Macaca mulatta: one gene and its partners. The protein of the gene in region 2 interacts with the protein of the main gene of each other region in a pairwise test. Links are inferred from orthologs where the notes say so. Each region holds a gene or a part of one and is shown on either strand. Other genes may lie near its edges.

What was found.
Region 1: the proteins of TRIM54 (region 2) and SDCBP interact in binary tests that used the Homo sapiens proteins (3 or more experiments, as listed by UniProt). The two-hybrid records come from large-scale screens. The link is inferred for Macaca mulatta from reciprocal best matches to the Homo sapiens genes TRIM54 and SDCBP.
Region 3: the proteins of TRIM54 (region 2) and OTUB2 interact in binary tests that used the Homo sapiens proteins (3 or more experiments, as listed by UniProt). The two-hybrid records come from large-scale screens. The link is inferred for Macaca mulatta from reciprocal best matches to the Homo sapiens genes TRIM54 and OTUB2.
Region 4: the proteins of TRIM54 (region 2) and UTP14C interact in a two-hybrid assay, tested with the Homo sapiens proteins (2 studies listed by BioGRID and IntAct). The two-hybrid records come from large-scale screens. The link is inferred for Macaca mulatta from reciprocal best matches to the Homo sapiens genes TRIM54 and UTP14C.
Region 5: the proteins of TRIM54 (region 2) and CCDC102B interact in binary tests that used the Homo sapiens proteins (3 or more experiments, as listed by UniProt). The two-hybrid records come from large-scale screens. The link is inferred for Macaca mulatta from reciprocal best matches to the Homo sapiens genes TRIM54 and CCDC102B.

What each region holds. Positions count from the first base shown.
Region 1 is NC_133413.1:69,233,085-69,237,177, reverse strand, and holds the start of SDCBP (syntenin-1), read right to left. Parts: upstream 2,813-4,093; 5' UTR 2,703-2,812; intron 1-2,702. UniProt on the Homo sapiens protein: Multifunctional adapter protein involved in diverse array of functions including trafficking of transmembrane proteins, neuro and immunomodulation, exosome biogenesis, and tumorigenesis.
Region 2 is NC_133418.1:97,679,149-97,682,660, forward strand, and holds part of TRIM54 (tripartite motif-containing protein 54), read right to left. Parts: intron 916-3,512; coding exon 820-915; intron 290-819; coding exon 56-289; exon of another isoform or gene 23-55; intron 1-22. UniProt on the Homo sapiens protein: May bind and stabilize microtubules during myotubes formation.
Region 3 is NC_133412.1:167,214,473-167,218,458, reverse strand, and holds the start of OTUB2 (ubiquitin thioesterase OTUB2), read right to left. Parts: upstream 2,813-3,986; 5' UTR 2,809-2,812; intron 2,447-2,808; coding exon of another isoform or gene 2,280-2,446; intron 10-2,279; coding exon of another isoform or gene 1-9. Other genes in the region: ASB2 (ankyrin repeat and SOCS box protein 2), read left to right, coding at 1-9, 2,280-2,446, 3,270-3,425. UniProt on the Homo sapiens protein: Hydrolase that can remove conjugated ubiquitin from proteins in vitro and may therefore play an important regulatory role at the level of protein turnover by preventing degradation.
Region 4 is NC_133422.1:31,264,674-31,268,907, reverse strand, and holds the start of UTP14C (U3 small nucleolar RNA-associated protein 14 homolog C), read right to left. Parts: upstream 2,813-4,234; coding exon 500-2,812; 3' UTR 1-499. Other genes in the region: ALG11 (GDP-Man:Man(3)GlcNAc(2)-PP-Dol alpha-1,2-mannosyltransferase), read right to left, coding at 3,030-3,301. UniProt on the Homo sapiens protein: Essential for spermatogenesis. May be required specifically for ribosome biogenesis and hence protein synthesis during male meiosis.
Region 5 is NC_133423.1:11,949,050-11,953,108, forward strand, and holds the start of CCDC102B (coiled-coil domain-containing protein 102B), read right to left. Parts: upstream 2,813-4,059; 5' UTR 2,735-2,812; intron 1-2,734. UniProt on the Homo sapiens protein: During interphase, forms fibers at the proximal ends of centrioles to maintain centrosome cohesion. During mitosis, dissociates from the centrosome following phosphorylation to allow centrosome separation. Contributes to CROCC/rootletin filament formation.

The DNA of each region.
Region 1 (4,093 bases), on a different chromosome or scaffold from region 2:
GTGCTGGGATTACAGGCTTGAGCCACCGGGCCCGGCCGTAAAGTTGTGTTTCATTATTTCACTTCTGCAAACTATTCATAGAGTGACTGAAAAATTTAAAATATAAAAATAAAGTATCAGGCCAGGAACCGTGTGGCTCATGCCTGTAATCCTAGCACTTTCGGAGGCTGAGACAGGAGGACTGCTTGACCCCAGGAGTTCAAGAACAGCCTGAGCAACACAGCAAGATTCCATCTCTAAAAAAAATAAAAACTAAAAAATGAAAAAATAAAGTATCCATTGGACCCAGATGGTAAGCATTCCAGATGGCTCATACATGAGGTCTAGAAACACAATTTGATATATCCTAAGCAGTCTTCCAGAGCAATGTTTCTCAATCTGGCTAATCATCACAGCCAAATTACCCGAGGCTCTAGTTATTATAAAATCAGCTTCCTGGGCAGACACAGATTTCATGGAAGGACTTAGGAACTCTTCTTTTTAATAAATATCCTGGGGGTTTCTAATGATCAGCCATTAAGAAGTATGTCCATATGAAGTCCACTCCAAGTAGAATATTTAATCCTTACCCATAGGATTCCATTTCTCACCTAGTGAATTGGCAAAAATCCAAAGTTTGACAACATTCTCTGACATCAAGGCTTTGAGAAACACTCATATACTACTAATGGGAGCATAAACTAGTACAATTACCATGGAGAGTGAGTTTGCAGTATCTACCAAAATTCTAAATTCAGATACCCTCCAACTCTGCAGTATCACTTCAGGTCTCAAAACCTGAAGTGTACAAATATATGTGCACAAAGGAAGCAACATATGTAAAAGTTTATTCACCGCAGCACTGACTGTAACAGCAAAAGACTTGAAAGCTATACATGCTGATATTAGAAAAGCTCCAAAATATTATCACTAACTGGAAAAATAAGAGCAAAATGTGGAGCAGTATATAAAATGTTAATGTTTGTGCTAAAAGGAGGCAAATACAGCTTATATGTTTGCCTATGTAGATATAAAATATCCCTAGAATACCTAAGAAATGTAAAAAAGTTGCCTGCCTGCCAGAAGGAGACTTGATACTATATACCTATTTACACTGCTTAAATTTTGAGACATGTGACTGTTTACCTACTCAAAAACAATACATTTACAAAAGATGTTGGCAGCACTTGAAAAGAAATTAATAAATGCTAACGTTAACTATTGCTAAAAGTAGAAAGTATTTTAAAGTTATTTGGGGGAGCTTTTCTTTTTTAGAATCTCTTGGCATTTAATACCTATGAAAAGTACCCAAATCTGGCAAAAACAGAGAAAATAGTTGTGTCACGCTCATTTTAAGAAACTCTTTAAACAGTACATTTAACCGGCAACCATTAGCAAATTCTTCCCCTATTGTTCCTCTTTTTCTCCTTTTTACATCTTTTCCTATAATGCCCAAAACTAAAAGTTAATGTCTCCAAAGTTAAATTTAATTTTCAATGGAGTGACTACTTACTGACCATTTTAAAAGTCATTCTACTTCTTTTTATTCTGTGCCACAAACCACTTGATTTATAATATTTCTGTACCATTTAAGGCACAAAAGTTTATAGAATTAAGTTGGTAACACAGAAGACAAAAGGACATATTTTCTACCGTTATCCCTCAATCTTAAACAGGAAAATAAAAAGACTGAACAAATTTGAGTTTTAACTAATCACATACACATTTAGAAATCAATTTAAAAGGCCCGCCGTTGTTTTTCAATGTAAATGTCCTCCTTTAATCAACTATTTATTTTTGAAACAAGCAGATATTAAGAGTTTGGTAAGCCGAGCGTATTTTCTAAGCAATGTACGCAATGGAAAAGTCAACAGTAAACTTGTATGTGGTTATACAGACGAGATAATCTAGAAACTCCTTTCAAAAATGGGCACATTCGAAGACTCTATGACTCAATAATCCCACTTTGGTAAAAGTGAAACTTTCCACATCCATATGCCTTCCCTTTCCCATTATTACAAGGAAATCCTGAAAGGAAGTCTCTGAGTCGTCAGATCTCAGGGGTATTTCCTTCTAAACACACCCAACTGGAAACGTTTCTCCCTCAGGTCCAACTTCTCCAGGAAAAAGCTCTCCCCACCCCCTTCCAAAAAAAGTCAAGGCTTCGCCCACTAAACGAACACTTCCTTCCTCCTTTCAAATCCAGGGCTTCCCGAATAACCCAAAAGGAGGGTGATTAAGTACAGACCAAGAAACGCGGAGCACGGGGAGGAACCGTGACCAGAGGCTCTTTCTTTACTCAACTCGAGATCGTATCGAGGAGAAAACAAGGATCGAGAGACTGTCCCAGGAAGAACCCCAGAGCTGGGGCGGGGGCTGCCGGCGTTCACCCGGCCGGGCCTCCGGGCTCAGCCAGCCCCGGCCCCAGCCCCGGCCCCAGCCCCAGCCCCAGCCCCAGCCCCAGCCCCAGCCCACGCAGGAGCCCGAAACCCGCGGGGTCGTGGCAGGCAGAGCGCGCTGCTCCCGCAAACTTGCCACCCAGCCAGCAGGGCGCAGGGAGGGGCGCGGAGCACCCTGAGGAGAGGGCGTCGCCGCTGCCTCCCGAAAACGGCTGCGACCGGGATGCAGTCCGTGAAGTGGCCCGGGGACCCTCACGCCTCTGCCCCAAGTCCCCGCGCCCGGGACCCGGCACCGGTGTCCTTCCTCCCCGCTTGGCCTCTTACCTAGCCCCACAAGGAAACGCTCGCCGCCACCGCCTCCGGTCACTGGCACGGACTTCTGAGGCCCAAGGGTAAGAGAGCGGCGCGCGCCCGAGGACCGCCCCCGAGGCGCGTCATGGCACCGCCCCCCGCCTTCGGCCCGCGCAGGCGCACCGCGCAGGGTCAGGTGATCGCGTCCCTAAGGTAACCGGGCGGTAGGGGTAAAGAGGCCTGGGCGTGGGTCGTTCCTGCAGCTCCAGGTGTTCGGCAGTGCGGGGCGGTCCATGCCGGCCGCTCTCTGCTGCCCAGCGGTTATGCTCCCAGTCTTCTCCGCTCTTCGGCAGTTAGTGCCCGCGGGCCCCGTGCCACCCACTCACTACAGTGTGTATCGCAGCTCACGGTCTCTTGGTTCTCGTCGCCTCCAATTCAAAGAGGTCTCTAGAGCCTATGCTCCCTCTTGGGATGCCTTCGACTTCCACCACTGCTGCCCTAGTAACACTCTCCGCTTGCTGTACCTGTCCACTGTAGGCTCAGAAACGTTCTTCTCACGACCCCTTCGCAACTCCTGCTTTATTTTTCTGTTTGAAATTTGGATGTTGGGGTGGCGGGGGGGCGTATTACGATGTCCTCCTGAGCTAATATTCCTTCGCTGCTGAGAGTTACTTGTGGTGGTGCGCAAAAGTAATTGCTTCCCAGTACAAAAACATAACGATCATTTCTTGAGGGCTGATTTTGTGCCAGCCATAGCTCTACGAACTTAATATATAGTCTTATTTGGTCTTCACATCAGTCTATAAAATAAATACAACATCCCATTACAAAGAAACTGAGGCACAGTTTACCCAAGAGTAAGCATAGTTACCATGGAATACTGTAGAGTCCTTGACAAAATAGCATTTACAAGCTGTTTATTTCTAGCTAAATTAGTGCCACAATAATTTAATATGTGGCAAAACTAATAAAAATCTGAGTGTAAAAGAGGTGACAACTAAAGATGAAAACTTTGCCGTCAGTAAGGTTATAGTTAGGCTGATGAAATGGACATTTAAAAATAATTACAAGGTAGATTGGGAAGGAAGATACACAACTTTTTGCTTTCAGATGAGATGATTTCTAACATAGAAAATCTGGAAAAAATTGACACTCCTCTAAAAAAATAGACAGAATGAAAAGCAATTATAGCAAGTTTGCATGAACAACTTTAAAACAGACTCATTCTAAGCCAAAATGCTTGGGACCAGAAATGTTTCCAATTTTTGATTTTGTTTTTTTTTTGCTTTTGTAATATTTGCATTATATACTTACGAGTTTACCATCCCTACTCCAAAACCCAAAATGCTCCAGTGAGCATTTCCCTTGGTCCTCATGTCAGCACTCAAAAAGTTTCATATTTTGGAGTAGTTCATATTTTGGAT
Region 2 (3,512 bases):
CCAAGGCCCCGACTCTAGCCACTGTGTGGCACTGCTACCCTCCCCTAGGGCCCACCTGGAGGTAGAGCGCCATCTGTGGCTCTTCCATGGACTGAATGGCGGACTCCACCAGCTTAGAGGAGGCCTCCAGGTGGTCGCCATACTGACGGATGAGGCCGCGGACGCGCTGCAGCTTCTCCTCTTGCTCCCGGGCCAGCGCCTGCAGCAGCTCGCCCTTGCGCTCCTCCAGCACTGCGCACAGGCTCTCAAACCTCTGGTTTAACAACTGCTTCTGCCTCCGGCTATTGTCCTAAAAGATGGGGAGCAAGGATGAGGGAAGGCGTGGCTGAGACCCGGTGGCTGGGAAAGCACAGGATACTCACAGAGAACCAACACAGAAAGTGACCCACCCATAGTGACACTGTGCGTTAGTGGCTGAGCCAGAATCCAGCCCAGATCTTTTCCATAATAAAAACACAATACTTTAAAGTAGCTTCACTGAGTGTTGTCTATATCCCTAGCCCTGGTTTTTATTTGCATTATTCCATATAATTCTCAAAAAGAACCCATGAGGTAGCTGGTGTACCATTTATCATCATCACTGTTTTATGAGGTTAAACAAAACCAAAGCACAGAGAAGTTAAATAATTGGATTAAAGTTTTGCGGAAAAGCTGGAATGAGCACCCAGCAGCCTGGCAAAAGCACCTCCCACCACTCCCAGGACCCCAGAAACTTTTGGACCAGTTTGGCCAGAGGTCAGAGAGGAGCAGTTCTCTTGGGAGCCCGGGGTCCGCAGGCCAGCCAGTTGCTGTTCCCCCTGCCCTCCAGCCCAGGCTCACCTCAATGGTCTGGCACACCTCCTCCATCTGCGTGATGACTGCTTGCACACGGTCATTGCCTGCCACTAGCATCGCGATGCCATCGCTGAGCTCACTCTGATACACACACAGGTTAGCACTTAGAGCTGGGACCTCACCTAGAGCTATACCCCTCACCCCAGCCAGGGTTGCCTAGGAGAGGGCTGGCCCCTCCACCCCACCCCCCATGAGGGCATCTACAGCAATCTAGAAGGTTTGAACCATCAAAAGGTACAGAAGCACATTCTAGGGATTCTGGAAGGAGGTGGAGAGAAGCCCTCCACCACTAAGTGGGGAAGGAACAGACAGTCTCCAAACATCCACCAGATAGTAGGCACTGGGCTAGATGCTTTATCTGTAGATTCGTTTCCTGCATAAATTCTGAGAAATTCTTCACGATTATCCATCTGCATAATATTGCCTTTTCTCTATTCTCTTTATCCTCTCATTCTGGGAATCTGATTAGACCTGTTAGACCTTCTCACTCTCAGCCTTCTCATCTCCTAGAACTGCACATTCTGTTTTTCTTTTAGTCCTCTCATGCTATTCACTAGTTCTGTTTTCAGACAAATCTATCATTTAATTCACCTGTTGAGTTTTTTGTTTTTGTTTTTTTTTTGAGACGAATTCTTGCTGTCACCCAGGCTGGAGTGCAGTTGCGTGATCTCAGCTCACTGCAAGCTCCGCCTCCTGGGTTCTCGCCATTCTCCTGCCTCAGCCTCCAGAGTAGCTGGGACTACAGGCACCCGCCACCACACCCGGCTGATTTTTTGTATTTTTAGTAGAGACAGGGCTTCACCGTGTTAGCCAGAATGGTCTTGATCTCCTGACCTTGTGATTCGCCTGCCTCAGCCACCCAAAGTACTGGAATTACAGGTGTGAGCCACTTCGCCTGGCCGAATTTTTTTTTTGTAAGAGACAGTCTCACTCTGTCACTCAGGCTGGAGTGCAGTAGTATGATCATTGTTCACTGGATCCTCGAACTCCTGCACTCAGGCGATCCTCCTGCTTCAGCCTCCCGAGTAGCTGGGATTACAGGCACATGACACCACTCCCAACTAATTACAACAAAACAATTTTTTAGGCCGGGTGCAGTGGCTCACACCTATAATCTCAGCACGATGGGAGGCCAACACGAGGTCAGGAGATCAAGACCATCCTGGCTAACACAGTGAAAACCCGTCTCTACTAAAAATATAAAAAATTAGCCAGGTGTGGTGGTGGACACCTGTAGTCCCAGCTACTCCAGAGGCTGAGGCAGGAGAATGGTGTGAACCTAGGAGGCGGAGCTTGCAGTGAGCCGAGATCCTGCCACTGCACTCCAGCCTGGATGACAGAGTGAGACCTCCGTCTCAAAAAAAAAAAAATTTTTTTAGAGATGGAGGTCTCACTGTCACCCAGGCTAGTCTCAAACTCCAGGCCTTATCCTCCTGCCTCAGCCTCCCTAGTCACTGGGTTTACAGGTTCCAGCCACCATGCCCAGCCATCTGTTAAATGTTCTATTTTATATATATATAATATATATAATATATTTTTTATATGTTATATATATTTTATATATATATATATTTGAGATAAGGTCTCACTCTGTCTCCCAGGCTGGAGTGCAGTGGCTCAATCTCAGCTCACTGCATCCTCGACCTTCCAGGCTCAGGTGATCCTCCCACCTCAGCCTCCCAGGTAGCTGGGACTACAGGTGCATGCCACCACGTCCAGCTAATTTTTTGCATTTTTTTTGTAGACGGGGTTTCAACATTTCCCCAGGCTGGTCTCCAGTTCCTGGGCTCAAGTGATCCTCCCACCTCAGCCTCCCAAAGAGTCGGGATTACTGGCGTGAGCCACCACACCCAGCTACATGGTTGTTTTTTGGTATTCTATTATTGTTTGGTTTTTTAAATTTTTCATCTTGTTTTAAAAAGCATTTGATTCATAGTGACTTCCAATTATTTAATAATTCCAATATCTCAGTTCCTTTTGGGGGTGTCCTAAATCTGTAATTTTTATGTCTGCTGACTTCACTCATGGATTACGTTTCTCTGTGCACCTTCAATTGTGAGCCAATATTTTGTTGATATTAATTAATCTAGGGAATACCTACAGGCCTAAACTGAGCATATTCTCCTCCAGGCAGTATTTGCATTTGCCTCTGTTGAAAGCCAGGTGGCGCAATTTACTGCTTTAGCGCCTAGGATCCTTGTTTAACCAGCAGTCTCCGGAACTTTTTGCCCTGTTGCCCAGGCTGGAGTGCAATGACGTTATCTCAGCTCACTGCAACCTCCACTTCCCAGGTTCAAGCGATTCTCCTGCCTCAGCCTCCTGAGTAGCTGGGATTACAGGGCCTGCAACCACGCCCAGCTAATTTTTGGTATCTTTGGTAGAGACAGGGTTTCACCACGTTGGCCAGGCTGGTCTCAAACTCCTGACCTAGTGATCTGCCCGCCTCAGCCTCCCAAAGTGTTGAGATTACAGGCGTGAGCCACAGCACCCAGCCAGGTCTCTGGAATCTTAGCTGCAGGTACCCCTCTTTTAGGGGTTTGGAGGAATAGTCTGGTCTCTAGCTCAGTGACATTGCCAGCACTGGTCCTCTGGGAAATGCTGCCTTTTCTGTGCTTGCCACTCAGCGTTCTGCTTTCAGCTCAGCCTTTTCTTTTTGCCCCTCCCCACCCCCACTGATT
Region 3 (3,986 bases), on a different chromosome or scaffold from region 2:
CCAGTTGGCGTAAGTGACTCCTGTCTGGCCCCAGGACCATCCAAGTTCACTCCCCTAATTGGGATGGTAGGGAGGGTGGGAAGCAGGCCCCCAGCCCCCAGGAGGGCAGAGGGCATTATGGAGGCACCTGCCGTGCAAGCCCCTTCTAGGGGCGTCCCCTTGGGGCCCCACTGCTCCTGCTGAGCTGGGCTTGGTGGCCACAGACTTTGGTCCTCAAGGAACTGCCAGCCAGGCATGCTGGTGATCCTCCCTCAGATGCCCCCAGCACGGGACCTGAGTGCTGGAGGAGCCCCACGGGGCTCTGAAACTGGGGACCCAGCACGAGGGAAATTGGGGAGATGGCCTTAGCATCCCTGAGGCCCAGAAGAGCTTGGAGTTGAACTTGATGAGTTGGCTGCACCCTTGTTTGTCCCAGTCTCACTTTCCTCCATGCCATCACTCTGGGTCCATCCAAAATGCCCACACCCACAGCCTTTGTTTTGTTTTGTTGTCCTTGTTTGTGAAGTGCCAGGTGCTAAAATCCAGAACTAATCTAAGCTGCAGGGGTTCTGTTTGCCTGGCACCAGGGGCAGGGCTAATGGGTTCCTTAGAAAATAATTCTGCCTCCCTCCCCTCTCTGTACCGCCGGAATAGTGACCCCGGAAGCAGCCAAAAGCAAAAGAGGGGCCCCATCACTGGAACCGCATTTCCTCACTCAGTTACGTTGTAGAGAAGGGAGGAGGCAATTGGTCAGTATTTTCTTTCTCCTTCCCAGCCTTTTTCAAATCCTGCCGCCCTCCACTTCCTTGGTGTGGTGGGTGTGTGGTGTGGTTGACAATCTGGAAAAGGGAAACCCAGTGCTGGTCTCAGCTACTGCTACCTCCCACGTGACTGCCTGAGAGTCGCTGGCTCCTCTGAGTCTCCCTTCTCTGTAGGACAGGGCAACGTGACCTCTAGGGTCCCATCCAGCTTATTACTTTCTGATGGCCTGACCCCCCCAGCACCTTCCCCCACCCACAGGGCAGAGACTATGTCTGAGGTCACAGAGAAGCTGTGAATGTGTGGGCTAAGAGCTCCAGGGTCCTTGTATCACAGCTGGAGAGACCTAAGCTGGGCGGCAGGTCCTGAAAGTGTTCTCACGACACTGCACCGCGTCCTGCTCACCAAGGCCACGAGAAAAGCCAGCCCTCCTCCCTTCCACTTCAGCTGGGGTCCCATTGAAGACCCTCCAGGAAAAGGGGGGCACATACCCCCACTGGGCTTTTCCTGATGCTGGCAGGGGCTGCTCTGGCTGCTCCTAAGTGGAACTCGTGAAGGTGGCAGTGACGGTGTTGATGGGGACTTCAGGACTTATCTGATCAGTTTCCCATCGTCCTTGCTGGGTCTGTTGCTTCACCGGCATCTGTGCTCTGATGCTATTAATAACCAGAGAGCCTGAGAGCAGGAAGAAGTGCTGCTCACGCTGGAGGAAGTGGCTGGGAGGGTGCAGGGGCTGGTGGCAGAGACCCCCAGAGCCCATCCTAGCCCAACATGGCGTGGGGGTCCTGGGAATGAGGCTTGCCTCCAGCCTCACCTTCTCCATCTGGGAAATGGGACTATTGATGCAGAACCCTCCCCAAAAGTGGATCAGAGAGCCACAGCCATCGTGGTTCTCATGGACTCTCCAAGGACGGGGCAGGGAGCTCAGTGAATGAATGAATGAAGGAAGGAAGGAAGCAATGAATGAACAAAGGGACTTTAACAAGCCAAGCAAGGAATGGCTTCACTTTAGCCCTGAAGTCTTTTTGACATTCAAAAGTTTTAAATTGTGAAAGCTTCAAATTTATTAATCCTTCCAGTAATTTTTTTTTCTGCAGCTGGATGTACTGGGAGTGGGAATAAGTGACCAGGCAAGGAGAGGAGTTGGAAGACCCCAGAGAGAGGCTCAGGGTTAAGAGGGGCCCTCGAGGTGGGCATGCCTGGTAAACGTTAGAGCGCTATACTCAGGGAAAGCATTTAATTCTCACAAGTGCCTGGCATGTGGGTGGTTAGCCACCCCTTAGGAGGCTGGCACTGTGTGCCTGAATCCTCTTGGTAAAAATGGTCTTGGTATAACATTCACTGCAGCCATAGAAAGCCACAGGGATTAAGGGGTCCCCCAATCCTCTTGCAGCCACTGGGCTGCAGGGGGCTGAGTGCTCATCCTAGAACCAGCGGGGACGAGGACCGAGTGACCCCACTGCCAGCACTCCCTGGGAGAAAGGACCCCTGGTCTGGCCTTGGCCTGACCTTGAGGACTGACCCACTCCTTGCTCTCACAGGCCTGTGGATCCCTTGATAAAGGCCATCAAGAATGGCGATGAAGAGGCCTTGAAGACCATGATCAAGGAAGGGAAGAATCTCGCAGAGCCCAACAAGGAGGGCTGGCTACCGCTGCACGAGGCCGCGTACTATGGCCAGCTAGGCTGCCTGAAGGTCCTGCAGCGAGGTGAGGGTTGGGCTCTGGATGTGGCAAGAGGTGGGAAAGGGACTGGGGGAAGGGCTGCTGCTCCTGGGGCTTCATGTTCTTTGCCCACAACCACCTTGGTGAGAAGGACAGGCAAGGCTGTCACCTTCGTTTGTCAGTTAGTCACAGAGTTAGGAGAGGGGAGATGAGTTGTCTCCACCCCCGACAGACACCCCCTGCTGCCACCTCTCCAGGCCTCTGAGGACAGGAGAGCCTCATTCCTAGAAAAGGAATGAGGGAGGGCTGACTTTTAGCAGAGCTGCTGCCAACTTGTTCCAGAATGTCCCAGGGGCTGATTTGGTATGAAAAATACTGCAGCTGTGCCTGTACCCGGCCAAGGCTATCCCCCACCTGCTGTGGGGCCCTGGGCCAGCCATGCCTCCTCTCTGAGCCCTGTCTTTGTGCTGAGCCAGGCTTAGAAGGACAACTCCTGCAGGCAGGTGTCACCTCTGCCCTGAAGCAGCACAGACCCCAAACGGTCCCCCACACTCCAAGAAACCACAGCATGTAACAGTGGGTTTCCAGCAATGGCTGGTGTGAGTTCGAGGGAAGGACAGGAGTATTAGAAGAGGGAGGGGCTCAATTAGGGAAGGCTTCTCAGAGGACGTGGCATCTGACCATGGACTTGTACAACCAGGAAGCTAAAATGGCCCTGTGAAAGGGCCAGATGAATACAGTCTGTAGTTGGTAAATTTCAGAGGATGTCATAGATTGTTCCTGAAATTGGGAGGCAATCTGGAAAGCCTCTGTGTTGCGGGATCGAGTATCTTCTTCCTACATGAATTTCCCGGTCGGCCCTCCCTAGCGTACCCAGGGACCATCGACCAGCGCACCCTGCAGGAGGAAACAGCCGTTTACTTGGCAACGTGCAGGGGCCACCTGGACTGTCTCCTGTCACTTCTCCAGGCAGGAGCAGAGCCGGACATCTCTAACAAATCCCGAGAGACACCGCTCTACAAAGGTGAGGTCCCCACCCCGGAGTGGGCTTTCCTGAGGAAGAATCCAGAAGGTGGGTGGGCAACAGGGAATGTTGCTCCCATAAGTGCATAACCCCCAGTGTGGCCCTGCTCAAATTCACAATTTATGTAACTGAATCATTCATTCCTGCATGCATTTTTTTTTTTTTTTTTTTGAGACGGAGCCTCGCTCTGTCACCCAGGCTGGAGTGCAGTGGCCGGATCTCAGCTCACTGCAAGCTCCTCCTCTTGGATTCACGCCATTCTCCTGCCTCAGCCTCCCAAGTAACTGGGACTATAGGCGCCCGCCACCTTGCCCGGCTAGTTTTTTTTTGTATTTTTTAGTAGAGACGGGGTTTCACCGTGTTAGCCAGGAGGGTCTCGATCTCCTGACCTCGTGATCCGCCCGTCTCGGCCTCCCAAAGTGCTGGGATTACAGGCTTGAGCCACCGCGCCCGGCCTCCTGCATGCATTTTACCAACATTTTCCAACTGCCTCCCATGGGCCAGGATGCTGAGGGACACTGAGGGCTCGGAGCTGAAAAACTATAGTCCAACCTGTGCACC
Region 4 (4,234 bases), on a different chromosome or scaffold from region 2:
AATGACTTAAACCTGACTTCCAGGCTGAGATGCGGTACTGTCAAGCGATAACGAGACCCACACAAATGTGCTGATAGCACTAAACAAAAACAATTTTCACCAGTACCGGTATGGAAAGGACTGTTGGCAGCACCTTGGCCTCTACTGCCCTACACACACCTATAAAGCATCAGTCAGTCCCACCTCTTGACTGTATGCTTTGAGAACATGATTACACAAGTCTGTTTAAAATTTCTTTTTAAAGGAAATCATTAGGTATATTCAAAAGGGTCATCCACTGTATTGTTTAGAATGTAAATGTACCAGCATTTTTCTGTGTTCTAATGTCTGATCAATTCTAAAATGCTAGTCAATTAATGGTCATCCATTTTCTTTTTTTAAAAATGTGGCTCAACTACATGCAATGTGCTGAGCCAGTTCTGGAATCCACCCTGTAGCAGAGTAAAACTGGACCAAAGGAAGTGGAATCAGAACTCCTAGCTGTCACTTTTCCAGCTACTCAACCTACAGAGTTTTTCTTCAACTCTTTACTGTGACGTGTGGTGATTTGTTTTGGATTCCACTGTATGACAGACAGGTCTGACCTTGAGGAAGACCGGTAGCCCACATCCTCTGCTTTTATGGGCTTAATGATATGACCTGGCTTGGTGATGACCTTGGGAGTAGTCAGCTTTTGGAAAGCCCTCTGGGTGTTCCATGTGGATCCTACAGGGGTCTGGATGGTCCTTTCAAATTGCCGATGGTGGGTAAATGGATATGGAAGCACTTGTACCTGATGAGCTGCTGCGTGGATGTTGCGCTTCTCACTGATAATCACATTTGGCAAATTCTTATCTTTTCTTGGAGGACCCTCAGGGGCTTTGAGAAACTGGCGTCTTTTCTTGGTACTAGGCTTTAGGCCCACACCACCCCACTCGCCCCAGCCAGGTAGTGTCAGGTCCACGTCCTTTGGCTTACTCGCCTCCACAGCTTCTCTCTTCTCTTTCAAGAAATTTCTGATGACATCATCCCCAGCAAAAGCTTCCTTTATCATCTGCCTTTGGTCTCTCTCCTCTTCATCTTCCAGCTCCTCTATTGTTGTGGGAACTGCCAAAGACCTCACGGAAGGAGACTGTGTAGTTAGGAAGTTCTGTACGTTGATCAGTTGCTCCTTCTCTTTCTTCTCCTTAGGGGCATCAGGCCGATTATTTGGGGTCCTCTCTGACTGCTGCCCTTCTAACACAGGTCTGGGAAGCTCCTTATTTTGAAAACAATCTTCTTTTCCCAGCTCTTCTAGCTCTTCCACAGTTTGTACTCTCTCTGGCCTCTGTAGCAACAGGGGCGCCTCTTCTTCTGGGGCAGGTTCCTCTCTCTGGACCTGGGGAACAGTCCCCTCTGAACTTGCTTTTTGCTTCCTGGACTGATGGTTTTCCTTCAATTTCTGAGATAGTGCCCTCAATTCAGACAGCACCTCCTGGCTGCTAGAATCTTTTGTTTCTTGAATGCCTGCTGGCTCAGCATCCTGGTTGAGCTCAGATCTTTTTCTAAGGGATCGCCTCTCCTCAAAGTCTCTCAACAAAATTTCTTCCTCTGCCACTGGTCTTTCTCCCTCACTTTCAGAAACCTCATGGGTCGCAGGCTCTGGCAGTTGCTCAGGGTCCTCCTGGGTTGCAGCCTCTCTGGTGTCACTGGTGCAGCTTCTGAGCATCCAGGGATTCGGTCCTTCCACATTCATCTGGACTTCATTCACTACATGGGGGACAAGGAGTTCTTCCACTTCTTCTGTGCCTCCCTCCTCTTCCTCAATCTCAGAGGCTACCTGGAGTTTCTGTGTCAGTTCTTTGTTCTTGGCCAACTGTTCCTGCATAGCTTGGCGAGCCTCCAGGTCATATTTTGCCATAATTGCCTTTGACTTGGCCCATTTCCCACTGTTTTGGTGCTTAAGGCTCATTCTTTCCATCATTCTGGCATTTTCAAATTTTTCCAGTTCTTCCAATGCCACAGTTGGATTAACCTTCTGCAGCTGCTCCAACTCTTTTGAGGCTTTCCTGGCCTTTCCTTTCTTCACGACTTTGTGATACTTTTTACTTTTGATTTTCTTCTCTCTTCGAGCCTTGGCCTCATAGTAGGACTGCAGAGCCCGAGCCCTTTGAAGCTCTGCTCGGTGCATCTTTGCCTCTTCCAGACTCATGGCTCGGAGAGAGGCCTTTTCCATGGGAGTCAGTAAAGGGTCTGTTACTGGCTGCTTGTTCTTATGGAGGAGGTTAAAAATTTCCTGCTCCAGGGGAGTTCTTGCCTTCCAGCCACTGAGCGCATGTTCAATGGGAGCAATGGCTGGCTGCTCCTTCCCCAGGGGAAAAGCCAGCTGCTCTGCCTGCTGGTTCTTCAGGACGATAGGGTCCCATTTAGAGAGGACTTGTGAGGTTTTACCGAATGCTACTTCTCTGTGGATCTGTTCAATGTTTTCTTTGTTAAGAGGTAACTCCACCACCTTCTTTGATTTGACTCTATTCAGTTGCTTTTTCACAGTGGCCAAAGAAGAAGTAGTTTTAACAGGCTCAAGGAGATCTGCAAGGACCAGCTTTTCTCCTGATCCTTCAGAACTGACATTGAACTCTGACACTTTCAGACTAGCCTCAGACCTCTCAGCCAATTTCCGCCTATTCTTTCCATCAAGGGAACTGATTGCTTCCAGAAGCTTTTGATGCTTTCTCTCTCCATCACTGTCCCCCTCATCTTCATTCTCACTCAAGGGGCAGTTTTTTGGCAAATCCACTAATTCTTCCTGTTGGCTCAAAGCCAGAAGGCTCTCCGCAACCCGGTTCACATTCATCTCAGCAGCCAGCTTCTCTCATGTGTACCAAGAATGGAAGCTGAAGGCTAGTCATCCATTTTCTTTTCAACACTTCCTTTTATTCTAAAAGGAAATTTTCTTGTCTGTTTTCTAAAGTAAAATGATTTGACAAATGAGATTGAATTTAGAAAAATATTTACATATGAAGGTGTTTAACCAGTTTATATAAAATATCTTTAATTTTCCAGATATGGCATTACTTAAATAACTTTTCCACAGATGATAGGAATGTCACTTCAAATTCCTGATCAGAGAATCTGCTTACAGATGCACGAGCACTTTTTCTGATTTGGAGTCTCTTTTCTGCAGACATGGAAAGAATGTGAGCGATAGTTTCAGCATAGTCTTCTTCACTCTCAGCCAGAAAGCCAGTTATATCTCCTTCGTGAGGAACGACAATGTCAAGCTTTGGGCCCCCTGAATTGTGTGCAAGGATAATTGTGCCAGCTGCCATACACTCCACAACTCCTGAGAAAAAAACAAAAATCATGTAGTATTTTAAGTTTTTGAGTGTGTTCATAAGAATGAGGATGAACAGAAATCTTCAAAAATTTTAAGGGACTTATGAGAAACTTAATTGTCTATATGTCTAGACATTTGCTTATTTAACTTCTATAGTACAAAATAAAATAATTTTAAGTTTTTTAGTTTTCATAGCTTCATAATAATACAATTTTTTTTTTTTTTTTTTTTTTTTTTGGAGAGAGAGGGTCTCACTATGTTGCCCAGGCTGGCCTCTAACTCCTAGCCTCAAGTGGTCCTCCCATCTTGGCCTCCCAAAGTGCTGGGATTTACCAGCGTGAGCTACCACACCCAGCCTGCTGCTTTATTTTTAGTTAAAATAGACAAGTAGATGGAAGACTAACCTATTAAAAAAGATATATTGCAGATAATTAAAAAAGACTAGAGAATGTTAGCAAGATGGTAGAATATTAACAGGTATTAGAAAAACAAAAGGAGTAAAAAGATATCAAAAACAATTTTAATAGTTCAAATTACATTAGCAGAAAAAATAAAAAATGCGAATCACCTAAGTGAAGCATACTATTGCCGTGCTTATGTTACTGCCTGGATTTCTGGCATATTTGAGACTACTGCGTGCCCAACAACAGTGCTGAACTAAATGAAAGTTGTGGTTAGTTTCTGCCAAATGATACACATGAAATATAAATTAATCTAGCCAGCCTTTCTTAGCTGTATTCCTAGGAGAATTAAGCCCTTCAGAGAATGATTTAAGTGACTGCTTTCCCAATTATCTGAAGGATGGTACAGAGCTGGTATCATCCTGGATGTATAGGAGAGAAATTAAATAATTCCAAATGTTTCTAAACCAGTGGTGAAATCCCTGCAGAATAGAATTCAGTAGCTCATATCGTATTCTGCTTGAGGTTGGAGAGCATC
Region 5 (4,059 bases), on a different chromosome or scaffold from region 2:
CAGGTTTGGTGTCTGATAAGGGTTTGCTCTCTGCTTCCAGGATGGTACCTTCTTGTTGTGTTTTCACATGGCTTAAAGTTGAAGGGGAAAAGGGGTCTAAGACAATCCCTTCAATCTCTTTTATAAGGTCTCTAATCACATTCATGAGGGTCCCACCTCATGATTAAATCATGCCCAAATGGCCCCACCTCTTAATGTTATCATATTGGCAATTAAGTTTCAACATATGAAATTTGGGTTACACATTTAGACTACAGCAATATGTATGCAAAATACACAAGGTATATATATATATACCTGTACAAGTGTAGCTTATCTGAAAGTCTTTTTAAAAATATTGTCAAAATAGTAGAATCTTTTAAATCTCAAAAAAAAAATCACCACTTGAGGTAGATAAGCAGAAAAAAACACTTAAAATTTTCACCGCAGAATATGTTTTAGCATGTGGAAATTTAGCATGTTCTCTGAACAAAAAGCCTAAAAAGTTTATTGGTTTATTAAATCATTTTCAGATTAATGCATTATTTTGATCATTTTCACGTTGCCTAGATCAGTGATGTGCAACGGAAATATAATGCAAAACCACATATGTAATTATAAATTTTCTAGTAGCTACACTTAAAAATAAAAACATGTGAGATTAATTTTAATAATTTAATTAACTCATATCTAAGCTATAATCATTATAACATATTATCAGTACAAAAATATTGAGACATTTTACAGTTTTATATTGTCTTCCCAATCCAGTGATCCAGTGTATATTTTACATTTATAGTATATCTCGTTACAACCTCTCTAATTTCATCAGAAATATTTAATTGATATTTATTTTATAGAGACATGGTCTTGCTCTGTTGCCAGGCTGGAAGGCAGTGGCAGGATCCCAGCTCACTGCAACCTCAACTTCCCTGGCCCAACTTATCCTCCCACCTCAGCCTCTGGAGTAGCTGGGACCACAGGTGTGTGCCACCACATCCAGCTGATATTTTTTTTTGGAAACAATCTCCCTCTGCCGCCCAGGCTGGAGTGCAGAGGTGCAATCTCGGCTCACTGCAAGCTCGGTCTCCTGGGTTCATGCGTTCTTCTGTCTCAGCCTCCCAAGTAGCTGGGACCACAGGCGCCTGCCACCACGCCTGGCTAATTCTCTGTATTCTTAGTAGAGATGGGGTTTCACTGTGTTAGCCAGGATGGTCATAATCTCTTGACCTAGTGATCCATCCGCCTCAGCCTCCCAAAGTGCTGGGATTACAGCCGTGAGCCACCGCGCCAGGCCACATCCGGCTAATTTTTTAATTTTTTGTACAGATGGGGTCTCCCTGTGTTGACCAGGCTGGTCTCAGTCTCCTCACCTCAAGCAATCCTCCTGCCTCAGCCTCCCAAAGTGCTGGGATAACAGGCATGAGCCACCGACGCCTGGGACTTGATCAGTATTTAGATTTCATAAAGTTTACAGTTGAAAAAGTAGATTCACATACCTCAGTTGTTCCAACCATATTAAAAAAACTTTCCAATAGCTGAATCAAGTGCCAGTTTTTGAGTTTACTGAGATTAAAATTAAATATTCAGTTACTTCATCACACTAGGCACATTTCGAAAGCTCAATAGCGACATATGGTTAGTGGCTACACTACTGAAGAGCACAAATCTAGGTCAACCTGTTTTCGTTGTTCTCCACATGTGAACTTAAACTGTAACGCAAATATAAAAAGATATTATTTTATTTTGCATGATGTGGAAGACAGAAAAATTTGAAATACATTAGAATGAAAAAAAAATTGAATATGGGTCATTCAGAGACCTTGCCAAGAAAGTAGAAAAGCTTCTGTATAAGAGTATCGAGGCGATGGTACTATTATAAAGCTGTTCCACCACCGCGAGAACATTACCATCACTTCAACTGTCCTCTTACGTTTTAGTCTACTTTTTTCAAAAAAAAAAAAAAAAGAAAGAAAAGAAAAGAGAAACAAAAAGAAAAATTGAATCTGCAGAGGGCTCGCGTTTGTGCATGCTGTATGCACAAAGGGGGTGACATTTAGGGCTTGCTCTCAATTACAGTGCAATTTAATCTTCCAGTCACTAGGAATAACAACGTTTTATAACATTTCGGCCTGTTGGAATTTTGAACCTAAGGTGAACCGGCTGACATCATATCCCCCTTCTGCTGTCATAGGTTTTCAAAATTTGGTTTGATCTAAATTCTCTGGTACCTTATGTCCCATAAAAATTTCATCTAATTCGGAAGTAGTGACTGCTGCAGTAACCGTCTCATGAAAGTATATGGTTTTTACAAATCATTGTCGTGTAGAAGAAAAAACAGGTAGCAATATAAATATTTCATACTATTTATTTAGTCCCAAAATAATCAGAAAAGAGTCATCAAAAAATATCCTACGCTTAACTTCATGTTCTCAAGTTTCAAGAGAAAGTTTTTAAAGAGGCAATCCTTACTTTGGCAAAAATGCATTAAAGCTTGCTGCATTTAAGAGATGTCCCATTATGCAAACAGGTTGAAAGAATATTACAAGTACGTTTTGGAAAAATACGGAGTGTCGCGCAGCTCAGCAATCCACAGTCTTAATGCGCGCCTCTTTCCAGGAATTTGATCCAGCATCAAAACCCACAGGTGCATTTACTGCATGGGAGTAGCAAGTAAATGATGTGCCAATATTCAACCTGCAACTGCGTCGTCGGAGCCTACCTCACCCTCAGCGTAACTTTCACCGGTACTCACCTTCCCAGAAACTCGCCCCAGTGAACAACCACCGTTGTCCCTAGTAAAGCCCTTAAGCAGGGTTCCCACGCTCCTGGGCTGGGCGGGGCGCCGGGGGCGCAAAGCATTCTTAAGAACACGACTGCGCAGGCGCTACCCTCCTCGCGCAGGCGCCGTACTCCCCCTCATAGCCAGAATTAGAGACCAGCCGGGTGCTGGGAGGTTAACGAGGCCGGCTAGTCCCGCCCCCGTATTGAGCGCGGTGCTTCTCTTCCGCTCCGGGTGGGGTCTGCTTCCCTTTCCGGGCGGGCAGGCAGCGAACCCCAGTGTCTTTATCCCTCTTTTGCACAGAGTCAGCTTCTGCAGCTCTCCCTGGCTGGCATGGCAGCGTGGAGGAGTTGGGCCGCTCTGCGGCTCTGCGCCACAGGTAATGGGCGCGCAGCGGTCGGAACCTGGCCCCGCCGTGGGGCCGGGATTGGGCTCGGGTCTGGGGCGAGGCCTGCGGGGCCCGCGGAGATGCCCACCCGGTCCCCGGCAGCGTCCTGCCGTCCCCGCCCCACCGCCCTGCCTGGCCGTGAAGGAGCGGACACCTGAGGGTCCTTCCGCCGCTGCTGTGCGGGACCAGTGCTGGACGTGGGAAGGGCGCGCTGCCTTGTGTTTGTGTTTTTCTCATTGTGGCAGGAAGTTTCAGTAAAGCTTACTCCTTTGATGGGCAAGAAGGATGCCGCCGTCCCACCTTAACGACCAGATCTTGTCTTGACTTTAGGTTCCGAGTCTTGTTATGTTTAAGGGTTTTTACCACCAGTGCTCAGAGAGGGTGGTCGAGGACAGATCAGGGTCAGGCCGCCGGGATTGTGCGGTGTGAAAAGGACCTGAGTGTGTGTCAGCGGTTCTCAGCTGCCTCCCGTCAGCACGGAGTGCCCTCATTCTCACTGGGGTCCGCTCACTTAACCTTTTAGAATCCACTCTGTGTCAGACACGGCCGTGTAATAAGTATTAGAGTTACAGCTCGACTTTCTTTCTATTTGGGGGTAAATATTTTGAATGACATTTGGAGTTTTTACTGAAGAGATAATTGCTATTAAAGCAAAAGAAGTATAGAAGAATGCTGTCTATATTCCAAAAAGATGGAATGGTAAAAAGGAGAAGTAAGATGAGAGTGAAAATGAGGAAAAAGGAACTGTGTATATTAGCTTTATTGGCTTACCTAGAACTTGGCCGGTCACCATGTGGTTGCATACAGACTATTTATTAAATGGATGAACTACTTTTGCTTTTGCATCATTTGCACCCTGGGATGTATCAGTGATGAATTTTTTGGTAGGTTGTAAAAGGTCAAAAACACC